Coturnix japonica: one gene and its partners. The protein of the gene in region 1 interacts with the protein of each later gene in a pairwise test. Links are inferred from orthologs where the notes say so. Each region holds a gene or a part of one and is shown in the gene's direction. Other genes may lie near its edges.

What was found.
Region 2: the proteins of KHDRBS3 (region 1) and INPP5D interact in binary tests that used the Homo sapiens proteins (3 or more experiments, as listed by UniProt). The two-hybrid records come from large-scale screens. The link is inferred for Coturnix japonica from reciprocal best matches to the Homo sapiens genes KHDRBS3 and INPP5D.
Region 3: the proteins of KHDRBS3 (region 1) and BAHD1 interact in binary tests that used the Homo sapiens proteins (3 or more experiments, as listed by UniProt). The two-hybrid records come from large-scale screens. The link is inferred for Coturnix japonica from reciprocal best matches to the Homo sapiens genes KHDRBS3 and BAHD1.

What each region holds. Positions count from the first base shown.
Region 1 is NC_029517.1:129,023,603-129,027,250, forward strand, and holds part of KHDRBS3 (KH domain-containing, RNA-binding, signal transduction-associated protein 3), read left to right. Parts: intron 1-2,228; coding exon 2,229-2,345; intron 2,346-3,648. UniProt on the Homo sapiens protein: RNA-binding protein that plays a role in the regulation of alternative splicing and influences mRNA splice site selection and exon inclusion. Binds preferentially to the 5'-[AU]UAAA-3' motif in vitro.
Region 2 is NC_029524.1:1,941,886-1,945,533, reverse strand, and holds part of INPP5D (phosphatidylinositol 3,4,5-trisphosphate 5-phosphatase 1), read left to right. Parts: intron 1-856; coding exon 857-944; intron 945-1,603; coding exon 1,604-1,684; intron 1,685-1,860; coding exon 1,861-1,932; intron 1,933-2,191; coding exon 2,192-2,315; intron 2,316-3,407; coding exon 3,408-3,514; intron 3,515-3,648. UniProt on the Homo sapiens protein: Phosphatidylinositol (PtdIns) phosphatase that specifically hydrolyzes the 5-phosphate of phosphatidylinositol-3,4,5-trisphosphate (PtdIns(3,4,5)P3) to produce PtdIns(3,4)P2, thereby negatively regulating the PI3K (phosphoinositide 3-kinase) pathways.
Region 3 is NC_029520.1:867,657-871,954, forward strand, and holds the start of BAHD1 (bromo adjacent homology domain-containing 1 protein), read left to right. Parts: upstream 1-1,476; 5' UTR 1,477-3,353; coding exon 3,354-3,363; intron 3,364-3,729; coding exon 3,730-4,298.

The sequences.
Region 1 (3,648 bases):
TGAAGGTTTCCATTTGCATTTAACTGTAAAGGCCCTGATCATTAGTAGTGATCACTTATTTAAGAAAATGACAAGGCATTTCTGACTTGAAAGTTACTGTGTTTGGATTTTCTTTTTCTTTAATGTTTTTAGTTTTTTAATTTTTTATTTTTTTAAAGAAATTATTGAAACTAGTTTGAGTGTTTTCATTGCAGTTACACCCTTGTAATCATAAAGTCAAAAGTCTGTGTAGAAAGGGAATTCTGTGACAGCTCTGGTACAACCTCCTGATGACCTTGTGAACGTTCTCAGCATGGCAGAATTCTATTCCTTTGGGCAACCTGTTTCCAATCTGTTTTCCTTGACAGTATATAAAAAAAACCTGTAAGCAATAAAATGAGGCATCACAGTAGAGTTAAAGTGTCACATTAGTATTTTTTGAGATTTGATCTGCTAGTTTCAGAAAAGGCTAGTTCATGAAAGGCCTTATTCAATAGCTTGTGTGGACCAGTCATCCATAGCCATACATTCAGTCGTATCTTGTTTCTAAGTCAGGAATTGACCTTGCATGTACTAAAGAGAGAAGAATTAAGTTTTCATTTTTAATAGGCTTTTTTTATTGCTTGCATTTCTTTTTTGTCTCAGATTGAAGTAGGTGAACTGGAGCTGTAGACTTTCTTCATTGTAGGAGAACCTGAGCTGGACTTCTTTTTCCATCAGCACTTCCATTGTAGCAACAATAGAGTTTGTTAGAGCTGCTACTGCCCCATTGTCAACTGCTATTGGATTCGTCTAGCCCAGCAGGGAGATCAAATGAGCCCTCTAATGATAGGGGGCTCTAATGAGCTCTCCATTGTGGCCCTCTAATCATGCAGTACTAGAGGAAGAGACAAGTGAAGAACAGTTGCATGAATGAGGCCAGAAAAACAAGTAGTCCAAAGGTATTTGTTTTATAGTGTTGTTGTTTATCACTTATGCCTAAAATTCTGTTACCGTAAATGGGTTGCCTTAGACTGTAACAGTTTATGGATATCATGGTTTTATAAAGCTTTGCAGGGTATAGTAAATATACCTGAACAGTAATCTCCAAATTTATGTATTATTTACAATAGAATGAATTAATGCTTTTGGTATGTGCTGTTCCATACAAATTTCAAAGTGTATCTCATGTTTACAGGCCCATTTTAGTATGAAAATAAATATATAAATAGTGTCTGTTTACTTAAAATTATCCTTAAAATCTTCTCTAACCATCCTTCAGATTTCATGTAACTTCCAAAATGCAACATGTAGATGTACAAAAGTGACCTATTGAATTTACGTACCTTTTCTCTCAGTAGGCATCTGGGAATATATGTGCTGTGCAGATTTCTCATGCCACCTGGCTCCATTGAACCCAATTTTGTATACTTAAATAAAAGCAGACATTTTCTTTTTTATTATTTCTCTGCTCTAGGTGGGTTGTAGAATTTGTGTTTTTGACTTATCTTCCCTCTGAATCACATTCTGGGCTGATAGAGCACCAGGTATTCACAGTAGCCTGTTTTTATGCTTTGTGTTTGAGTTTTAACCGAGTAATATTGTTCCTTTGTATTTGTAGTGCATCACTACCTTCTCCTTAGTTACTTTAATAGTGTTTTGCCCTGGCTATGAACTGCAGCTGGTTTTGGTAAACTTCAGTGATAATAGAGGTTAGGAAACAGTTGAGAATGCCTTAAAGAATGTTCGTTTTGTTTTGAGACAGAAAACACAAGCATATAAATTTTGGATTTAATTCCCTGTTTGTTTCTGTGTTTTAGTGTAGGGTATATTATATGAGAGGCTATATTACTTCATAAATCTTACAGGCAGCATAAGGCAATTCAGATTTTTTCATTTTCAAAACTTTTTTTGGGTGCTACTGCATCTGTGAGGGATTGCTGCCAGCTTTGTTTTTATGGTTATATACCTGATAACAACTGTTGAAAAACTGAATTGCAGTTTGAGCACATCTGGTCTCAGCCTTGAATGTGTCATTTATCTATGCTGTTTGAAAGTTCTTTGAGTTCAGATACTTCTAGGTTTCAGTTGGCATCTGGTTTTCCCTAACATGCTGTTAACTGTCCTATACGTTTCTACTTAGTGACTGTCATTTATGATTAAGCACTTGCTGCTTTTTTGCACCCAGAACAAAAAGTTGTTTCAGCAAATTTTGCATGTTTCTGTGCTTAGAAATTGAGTGGTCATAATATCTTTTTGTTTTCTTACAGTTTAACTTTGTGGGAAAGCTTTTGGGTCCACGTGGCAATTCTTTAAAGCGCTTGCAGGAAGAAACGCTGACAAAGATGTCTATTTTGGGAAAAGGTTCTATGAGGGATAAGACAAAGGTAAGAGTTGATTATTTCAGTTGAGTGTTTAAGATACCTGAATTTCTTCCTAAAATTGTTGGAGAGACGAGCAAATCCTGTGACAAAAAAAATAAATTCAGGGAGGAAATAAAAAACATCAAATATACTTGTACTACTTGGACTCAGATGGAGTCTGTTGTCTGTAAGGAGCCTATTGTCACATTTGGCATTGAGGCTACTACAAGCTGCATGTATATTCCCAAAACAAGAGTTCCTGGGAAAGTAACTGGCATTAGCAGTGGCTCATTATAGATCAGTCTAATAGTGCTTGTAATGTATAGTGTCCACATCACAGTGTTTCCACCTTAGAAAGACTTCTGGATAATGTCAAAGAGTTTTCACAGAAAAAAACACTTATGTTTAATAACACTTGTTTTTATATGCAAAGAATAACAGGTGACGAAAGCAAATGAAGTACAAGAAGGAAAAAAAAAAACTAACAGCCCTGATTTAGGATGCTGGGTACAGGTTAAGCCAACATGCAATTGCAGTTGTTTTAATAGAGGATGTTTGGTTATCATGACAGTATCCATTACATGAAGCCCAAGCAGACATCAGAAATCTGTAGCTTAACATATATATGCATTTTTTGTGTTGTGATGTATTTGTTTGGGTGGTGAGACACTGAACAGGTTGTCCAGAGAGGTTGTGGATGGCCCATCCCTGAAGGCATTCAAGGCCAGGCTGGATGGGGCCGTGAGCAACCAGGACTAGTGGGAGGTGTCCCTGCCTACAAGAGGGGGATTGGAAGTAGGTGGTCTTAAAGGTCCCCCAAACCATTCTATGATCGTGTGATTCTAAGATTCTATAATCTGGCTCAAGCTTTAGCACACAAAGGCAATGTAAATCAGTAAGAAGACAATCACATCACCTGCCTAGTGAATTGCACGTTTTCACTGTTACAAATGAAAATAGTACTTGTCAATAGTATGCCATGATTTACTGGCCACCTTCTCTGGCTTATAATGTTCCCAAAAATATAAAACCACTCTGTGCTTTTCCTCCTGTATGAGAAAGAACAACAGTCTGCACTGAAGTTGAGCTTAGAATTTAATTACTGATTAACAACTTACTTATTAGGCTGGCAAGTTCTGAGATGTGACTAATGCATGTATTTCCTAGAAAATCATAGAATTCTAATTGAAACTTTAATGTGATGTTTAACAAAAAAAGCAATTACATCATTCTGTATGATATAATTCTTAAAATGTGGACAGAAGCTTTGTTTCATCCTGCAGATAGACTACACATCCTTTTCTATCTGACAGTAATGCAGGTACCA
Region 2 (3,648 bases), on another chromosome or scaffold:
GTACTTTCACTTTGGAGCACTTTCCCCAACAAACACGGAGTAAAATCCGGTCTATGCAGACTTAGGAAAGTGAGGGAAATCATTAATATCCACAGTTGACTGGGCCTGGTGAAGGCATCCCAGCACTGCTCCCACCATCCCCTTCCTTTTGACCTGCACTCCCTGCGTGCTCTTTCCGTGATAAGTCTTGTCACGATCGGACCGCAGCTCCTGTGCCAAGTTCATACAACAGCACTTTGTCAAACGAGCATCCTGTGGGATGCAGCTGGGAAATGCTGGAGGAATCTCACTGTAACCCATGAGAGGTTCCTGTGCCCGGCCTCTCTGTGTCACGTGAGCTGAAAAATATGAAAAAAATTAGTTTCCTCTTTGCCAGTGTCCTCTGCAAGGACCCTGCTACACCAAGCTTCTACTGCTGGGACATCCATGGGCTCCAAACTGTGCTGGGCTTTGGGGTTTTGGAGTGGAAATATCATTTGATGTTCTTGTGTAGGATGCTGGTTGTCCTCTGGTTTGGCCCAGACTGGGACATCTTCCCACAGAGATGTGAGAAGTTTCTATCTCTGCAGTTAAACCAGAGGAATGGCCCACACCCTGCTATGGCAAGGCAGAGTTGAATGCCTCAGTCCAATTGGCCTTTATGGGCAGTATCACTGGGGCAGCTGAGAAAGGCACTCATCACCCATCCCACCGGTGGAGCAGGCAGTGAGCTGGGGGGACAGGAGTCTGGCAGCTGCTGAGAGCAGCCCTGGTGTGAGCGTGTGTGTGCCTGTGCTGTTCTGTGCAAAGAAGCTGGTGCTAACTGAGCTGGAGACCTGACCGCAGCCTTTGGCCTCTGCCACCTCTCTGTTCCCAGTGAAGCCTCGCGGACCCTCCCATCTCTGGAGTCCATCCAGAAGGTGTTTGAGCAGCAGCTGCACCCTGGCATCCATCAGCGCTCACAGGTAAGCTGGCTGGAAGCTGGGAGATGAGAACAGAGGCGTACAGGCATTTGCCCCACAGGGAAAGGGAGGGCTCTGATTTCCCAGCAACGCTTTGGTGGGTTGCAGGTGATGAGTTACAGCCTGTGTTATCTGTAGCCTCATGATGGCTGCAATGCAGAGGGCACACAGTGAGTTACACCCCACAGTTTCGCTTTACTCCATAGTCTCCTCTACCTTCCTGCCCCAGAGGAAAATGCAGCTAACTGCCTGAGGACTTCTGTCCCCATATCCTCCCTCAGTCTGTGGGCTATGACTGCACCTTTATCTTTCCATACACTGCACTCCACGGTGTTTGACTGCCAGATCAATCATACCCAAACCCCACCTAAGTCCTGTGACTCTGCTCTCCTCACCAGTGGCCCAGAAATACAGAAGTCCAGGACTGAGCCCTGCACCTGGTCATGCAAACCAGTCTCCCAGCTGACTCCCTTGCATTTCCATACTTGTAGCCTATAGATTAGGTTTGCAGATTTGCCCTTCAGTCCTGCCATACATCTGGATGTTCAGCCAAATGCACTGCTTTCATGCTGCTCATTACAGATGAGAGTCTTCCAGGTGATGCTCTGTGGGTTTGGTAATTATACATCCCTCTCTTTTTGTTTCTGTGTTGTGGTTATCAGATGCTTGGTGAAGCCAGTCCAGTCAATATTGTACTGAAACTCAATCAGCTGATCTCATTGCTGTCTTCCATTGAGGAAAAGGTAAGAGTTTTCAGAGCTATTTTACACTATTTTCATGTCATCTGTTGCCTCTATTTACATGTCCTATGTGTCTCTGGCTCATCATCAGTGCCATCCTCTGCCACAGTAAGATTCCTCTGCTGAGTTTCTTACTCTCGGGGTAGTGCACAACTCAGTACACACAGGTTCTTTTCCAGGTGAAAACACTGTTGATCGAAGGTCCTGATTCAACACACCGCCGTTCCCTCATCCCCCCTGTGACTTTTGAGGTAAACATTCTTTAACAATGCTGACCAGAAGGCAGAGAGGCAATCATGTGGATTTATATCAGTCTCTCAGTTCTGTACCATGCTGCTTCAGAGATAACGCAGATATTCCTATTTGTGCCATGTGAATGCTTAAGAGATAACAGGTGGGATTGGCATAATGATGTGCTTGTCTATGAATTCAGGCAAATGTAGCATTTTGTAATACATGTGACTGGAGTGCACAGCATTGCTTTTGACAGATATCTCTGTTTTCTGATAGGTGAAAGCCGATTCTCTGGGAATTTTCTCAAAAATACATCTCAAGGTTGACGTGGAAATGGGAAAACTGATTATCAAGAGAGCTAAGGATGGCCCAGAAGACAAATTTTATACTCATAAGAAAAGTAAGATACTTAAGGTCACAAATGTGGGACCAGATGCTCGGTCCCATGGATGATGGAGGATGGGTGAGAAGATAGGAATGTCTGCCTGGCCCTGGGTGCTGTGTGAGCCCCAGGCACACCAGGCTGCCCATCCTGCAGACAGCAGGGACTCAATACTGGCTTAACCAGCTTTCACAGACTGTTTTTAAGGGCAATCTGCCTGGCCTCCTGGTCCAAAAGAAGACAGCAAGAGCAGGTTTTGATGGGCTATTGATTACCCGTAGAGCTGGTTGTGATAGAACAGTTTTCTACCAAAAAGCAGTATTGCTGAAAAGAAACACGCTGTATGAATGTGTTGACTCCTGTGATGATTTTTGATGGTAGAAAGCCAGATACTCAGTCTCAGTACCACAGCACAGTGACGCTTCCCTTGATTGTTGTTTTTATATATGAATCAATAACTTTACCAATGAGCAATACGAGTTTGGCCTGTGAAGGCCCAAGTCAAACAACTTCCCTTTGCCTCTGATGTTTCTAGGCAGACAGCTCTTTGAAGATTCCTATTGATTTTTTTTCGTCATACCCCACTCTTCCCTGAACGGCATTGCCAAAACCAGTAGGATTTATCAAACAGAAAACTATGCCCTTGGGCTCTCTCCTCTGTATAAAATCTCTCTGTTGCTGGCAGTGACTGAAAAGATTAGCTTTCATGTGCGGTTTTCTCTAGCTCGTGTTCATAATTACCTAGTTGCTATTTTAGATGGGGATTATTCACCTTTACCATCAGATGGGATTCTACCTCCTCATTGCCAGATGGAGAAAGAATATAAGTAGGAAGAGAGATTGTCTGCAGGAAGGCAAGGCATCACATCAGATCTACAGGGCTCAGTATGGATGAGAGCTCCAGGCAGGAGGAATCTGGTGCCTCTGCTTCAAGGGCAAGGTCTGTTCCTATAGGGAATAGGGTTAAGCAACATTAAAGTGGAGTTAGGCAGGACAAAGTCAGCCCTACACATAAAAGACCATGTAAGTCCCAAGTCTGGGTCTGAGTCTTAGTTTTGGTGGGATTCTAGCTTCAGCGATCACAGCTCATGCCACCCAGTCTCTGTTTAGTCTTGCAGCTTATCAAGTCTCAGAAGGTCCCGACCAAATTGGTCATCGTGCTGGAAACAGAAAAAGAAAAAACACAGCGGAAGGAATATGTTTTTTCTGATTCCAAGGTAAATACACTGTGTTTCTTTCTTGCCAGCCTGGATCAGGTCTAGGGGGGTAGGGAGGGGAAGGTACAAAGGGCATTCTTTATCAGTAAAAGAAACTGCTGAAGGATGTAATTGGCTTGGCAAAAATGAAATTT
Region 3 (4,298 bases), on another chromosome or scaffold:
GCATAAGCTGCACCAATTCAAAGGAACAGAACATCTTCCAGTGCACAAGGACTGGAAGTCAGCAAAACAATGCTGCACATGGAGAGGAAGATTCATGTCGTTGTAACTCTTTGTTTGTTATTGAAGTGCCACATGAATTAGAAGCTTGAAAAGCTTTACGTTTCTGTTCTTTTTGGCATCATCTCCTTGGAACCAGCGCATCTCCATAGTGAAGCTTAGGAAGGGAAGTGGTACTTGAATGGGTAGTCCCAGACTGGTGTCTTTTAATTTCACTTGCAATCAAGTGATGGAGAGACAGATGCTGCAGCTGCATGATTACAGAAAATGCAGCTGTTAAGACACTTGCCTCATTAGCAGGCAAAGAAGCAGCAGCTCTCTGAAGACTTGGGAGCGCTTTTACTACAGCACAAAATTAGACCAGTGCATTTCTGTTTGAATTTCCTCTGTCCGATGTGGTCTGCAGCTCTCAGTATAATTCCTTCAAACTGATCCAGTTTGAGGAAGGGGGGATAGCGACTTCATCTATGAGAATGCTCAGTGGGTTTGGAATGCTGAGGGTTAGGCCAAGCTGCCTTGTCAAAGTCATTCCACTTCTTAAGTAAGCTGTCAGTGTTTCCTCACCTCCCATTTGTTGCACGCAGGAGATGGGTGGTTCTGCCGTAAGTATTTTCATTTTCAGTTCTTCAGATTATGTTGGGATTTCTTTTCTGGGAATAGTTAGTTTTTCCTCCTTGCTTTGTGAAGCCCTACAAAGGTGACCAGAGGAGCCCTGACGCTTCCTTCCCAGCTGAAAGCGAGTAGCTGGTCTTGGTGAGCTCTGTGTGACTGATTTCTAAAGCATCATAGGCTACTGAAGTTTCAAGCAGCATTTGGAAGCTCTGCTTGTGTGTTATGCTGGGGAAAGAGGAGTTAATGGACTCCAGGTAAGGGGAGCAAGCTGGTAAGACTGCTTGGTGCCTATTTCTGAATGCATGCTCATAACTAAATCAGCACTTAATTCATGTTGTTTGTCTTCTTGCCTGTCTCTGTATACAGCATCCAAAACTTGTAGTGGCATCACTGCAGCGCTCCAGCAGAAAGCTCATAGTGGCTCTTTCTGTACCTGTATATGAACACAGGGAGATGAGAAATGCAGCAGATCCTCAGGGCTGAGAGTGCTTTCAGAGAAAAGTCGAGAGTCTTTCTCTGTAAGAGATGTTAAGGATCACATCTAACATCTAAAATGCTGCAGTTGGCTTCTGGGAGGGGGGCTGGGGGGGGAATGAGGTGTGTGTGTGTGGGGGGGGAGGGAGATGTATGAAGCCAATACAGCACAAATTCTCAGATGTTTAGTTCTTCCTTTGCAGAGAAGTGCTTTATAGTGTTCTAGCAGCTGAGCTCTGAGAGAGGGGGAGAACCTGAAGACCAGGCAACAAGGAGATCCATGCAGACATATCCTCATTTTACTGACAAGTAATTAATAAAAGCCTGTGATTGCTTGATTAGTCTTGTGTCAAAAGCTCATGCAACTGAGACTCTCTAAAATGAACTGTGTTGAATCTTGGTGCTTTTCCCCCTTTGGTGTGATTTTGACTATCTCTAATGTCATCTTTGCAAGTTCAGCTCGATTGTTTTGCTCCACGTTCCCAGCTGCAGTTGTCAGTGATGAAAGCTGTTGTGGAGTATTACCTGTAAATATGCCACAACATGCAAGACAATGATACCTGTGCTGCACCAGAATACGGATCTTGCCTCTGGGCTTTGGTGGTTTTATTGCAGTGGGAGGAAATGTATGTATTAAAAATCCACATTCATGTGGAGTACCGTAAAAGAAAGCATTCCTATGCTTATATTCCAGGAAAGGTACTTAAGCTATTGTTTGTCTTTACCCTCCCCATGGAGTCAAACAGGGAAGACTATCACTCTTGCTGTTGCTGTTAATGATTCTCCTCTTTGTTGGTGAAAAAATCCCCTTTCTTCAATCTGCCCCAGCCTTCTTTATATCTTTTGAGCATATCTGGTATGAACAAGGTTATATCTCAAGTACTCAGTTTTTAATAGGTCTCTTCCTCATTCAAGCACTGATGGGCTGTAAAACCCAGCATGTGATAGGTGAGTAGTGGTAGTCAGGAGGTAACTGCTGCTCACAGGATGTTGGTGAGAACTACAGGAGACAGAGGTAACTGATGCTGGTTTTTAAGACAAATCCTACTTGTTTCTTCTGGGTTTCTCCCATCTCAGCTGGAGGGCTCCATCTTTTGTTGGGGACAACAGAAAATAGGTTCAGAGGTGTAAAAGGAACCACAGGCCTGTATGGGAGATATTATCTTCCCTAGGGCATGGTTCTGTAGGATGCTTGGTCTACCACTGTCAGACCTTGGTTTGCATGCTTTAAATAGAAATTCTCATGCTAACTCCAAAGGTTGTGTGTGTTTAACGTGTCAGCTTGTGCAAGAATTAATCTGATTTTGAGGGAACTTGTCAGTCTGAATTGATAACCCTAATTTCCAGAACTGGTATTGCTGATCGGAACCAACATGGGTATATGCATAAACGTTTGCTCCCCACAGAGTGCTGCAGTTGAGGCACATAAGCTATAGGAGTTATCCCTTGTGTAATGGGACGTAAGGGTTCCATTACCTTGAGACACCTTGGAAAGAGTCTAATATCTGCAGAATAACGTGCAGGCCACGGTAGCTTTCAATTCCTAGTTTTCTTTTAGTTAATGCGTATGTAAGCAAGTCAGTTAAAGCACAGTGGGTCTATTTCAAATAGATAATCTAATTATCAGCTTGATTAAACCATATCAAATGAACGGTTCTTGTAATTTGGTAGCTTTGTTCTCTTCGCTACAGATGCAGTAGCTTTAATTAGCAGCCTCAGAAGTAGCAGACCTGTGCTGATTGCGTCAATTGAGAGGTGTTGCAGCTGGATACTTGATGTGGAGGGAATCAGACTGCTCCTATATCGGTGCTAATCCGTAGGCTGGCACTTTGTTGCCAATAACAGGAGTCTGACTGCTTCATAAATACCATTACATGCAAGAAATAGCCCTTTTCTGCTGTTTCCTCTGCTCAGACACAGGCTTAATTAAATTGATTTCTCTAGTCAATTAGGCTTTCTTTTTAAAACGTTTGTAGATATTGCCTACCGTATCCCTTCTTAGCTTTAAACTCACCTGTGAATGTGTGTTCTTTTGGACTGCAGCATCCCTCAGTTATCTGACATAAGCCAACCACAGGTCTCTTGCTGAAGCCAGCACCTGGCCAAACAAACTGCTGGGATGAAGCTGTTCCTTTGGCATTGCTTGCCAGCTTCTCCAAGCCCACTCAGCAGTAAGATGCTGCTCTTTGTATAGCCAGGAAGCCTAGGGCATGGTGAAAGGTGAGCAACCAACCTCTGCTACTGATACAGGATGAAAGCACTTGGGGCTTGTCTGCCTTTCTTTGGCATTGCTTTAGTGGGGATCTCACTTGGGCTGGGAGCTGGGTAAAGCTGGCTATATCCTGGTTTTCCTGGTTCCTGTGTCACCTCGCCTTTAATTGCTATCATGTTCTGTAGCTTAGTATTAACCCACGTCTCGCTGCATCCTGCCTCCTAATTGGCTTAACTGGCTGTCACCCAAAAAGGCTTGACCATGTATCGCAACAAGTTTCCCCAAGTATTTCCTAATTGACACTTGACGTGTTGTGAGGAGATGAGTCCCTCTTGTCTGTATTAATCAGCGTGTTTTCTTCTGCTTGTTCTCAGGACTGGACATTGATCCTATGACGCATGCCCGGAAGAAACAACTTTTCCTTCTGAAGCATCCAGCTGGTTCTGCTGGCCAGGTTTCATCACCCACAGGCAACAGGAGGATGGACAGGACACAGGCGGAGTGCGGCGAGCAAAGGGATGGGGATGCTGCTGAGGCTGCCAGCAGTTTGAGTGGGTTTGTGGGGACAAGCAAAAGCAAGAATTTGCAGGAAGTCCGAAAGACGTACCCGCTGCGGAGACGTCTGCACCCTTCAATGAACAAAAAGACCTGTAAAGTGCTTCTCACCAGGCTGGAAGATGTGGCTGGATCTCTGTCCAAAGAGACCCAGAGCTGCAAAAAAAAGGACCTTCCCAGCTGGGTGGAGGAGTTGGGGCCCACTTTTTTTGCTGAACAAGTTAAACCTGTGGGAGCGGGCAGGAGTGATTCAGCTGGGGAAAAGTGCACAGTAACTTATCCAGGGACAGAGGAAGACCTTGATGCTGCTCCTTCAGAGCCCAGGAAACGCAGGCTGGCCTCTCTGAATGCAGAGGCTGTGAACAATCTGCTCTTTGAGCGGGACGAT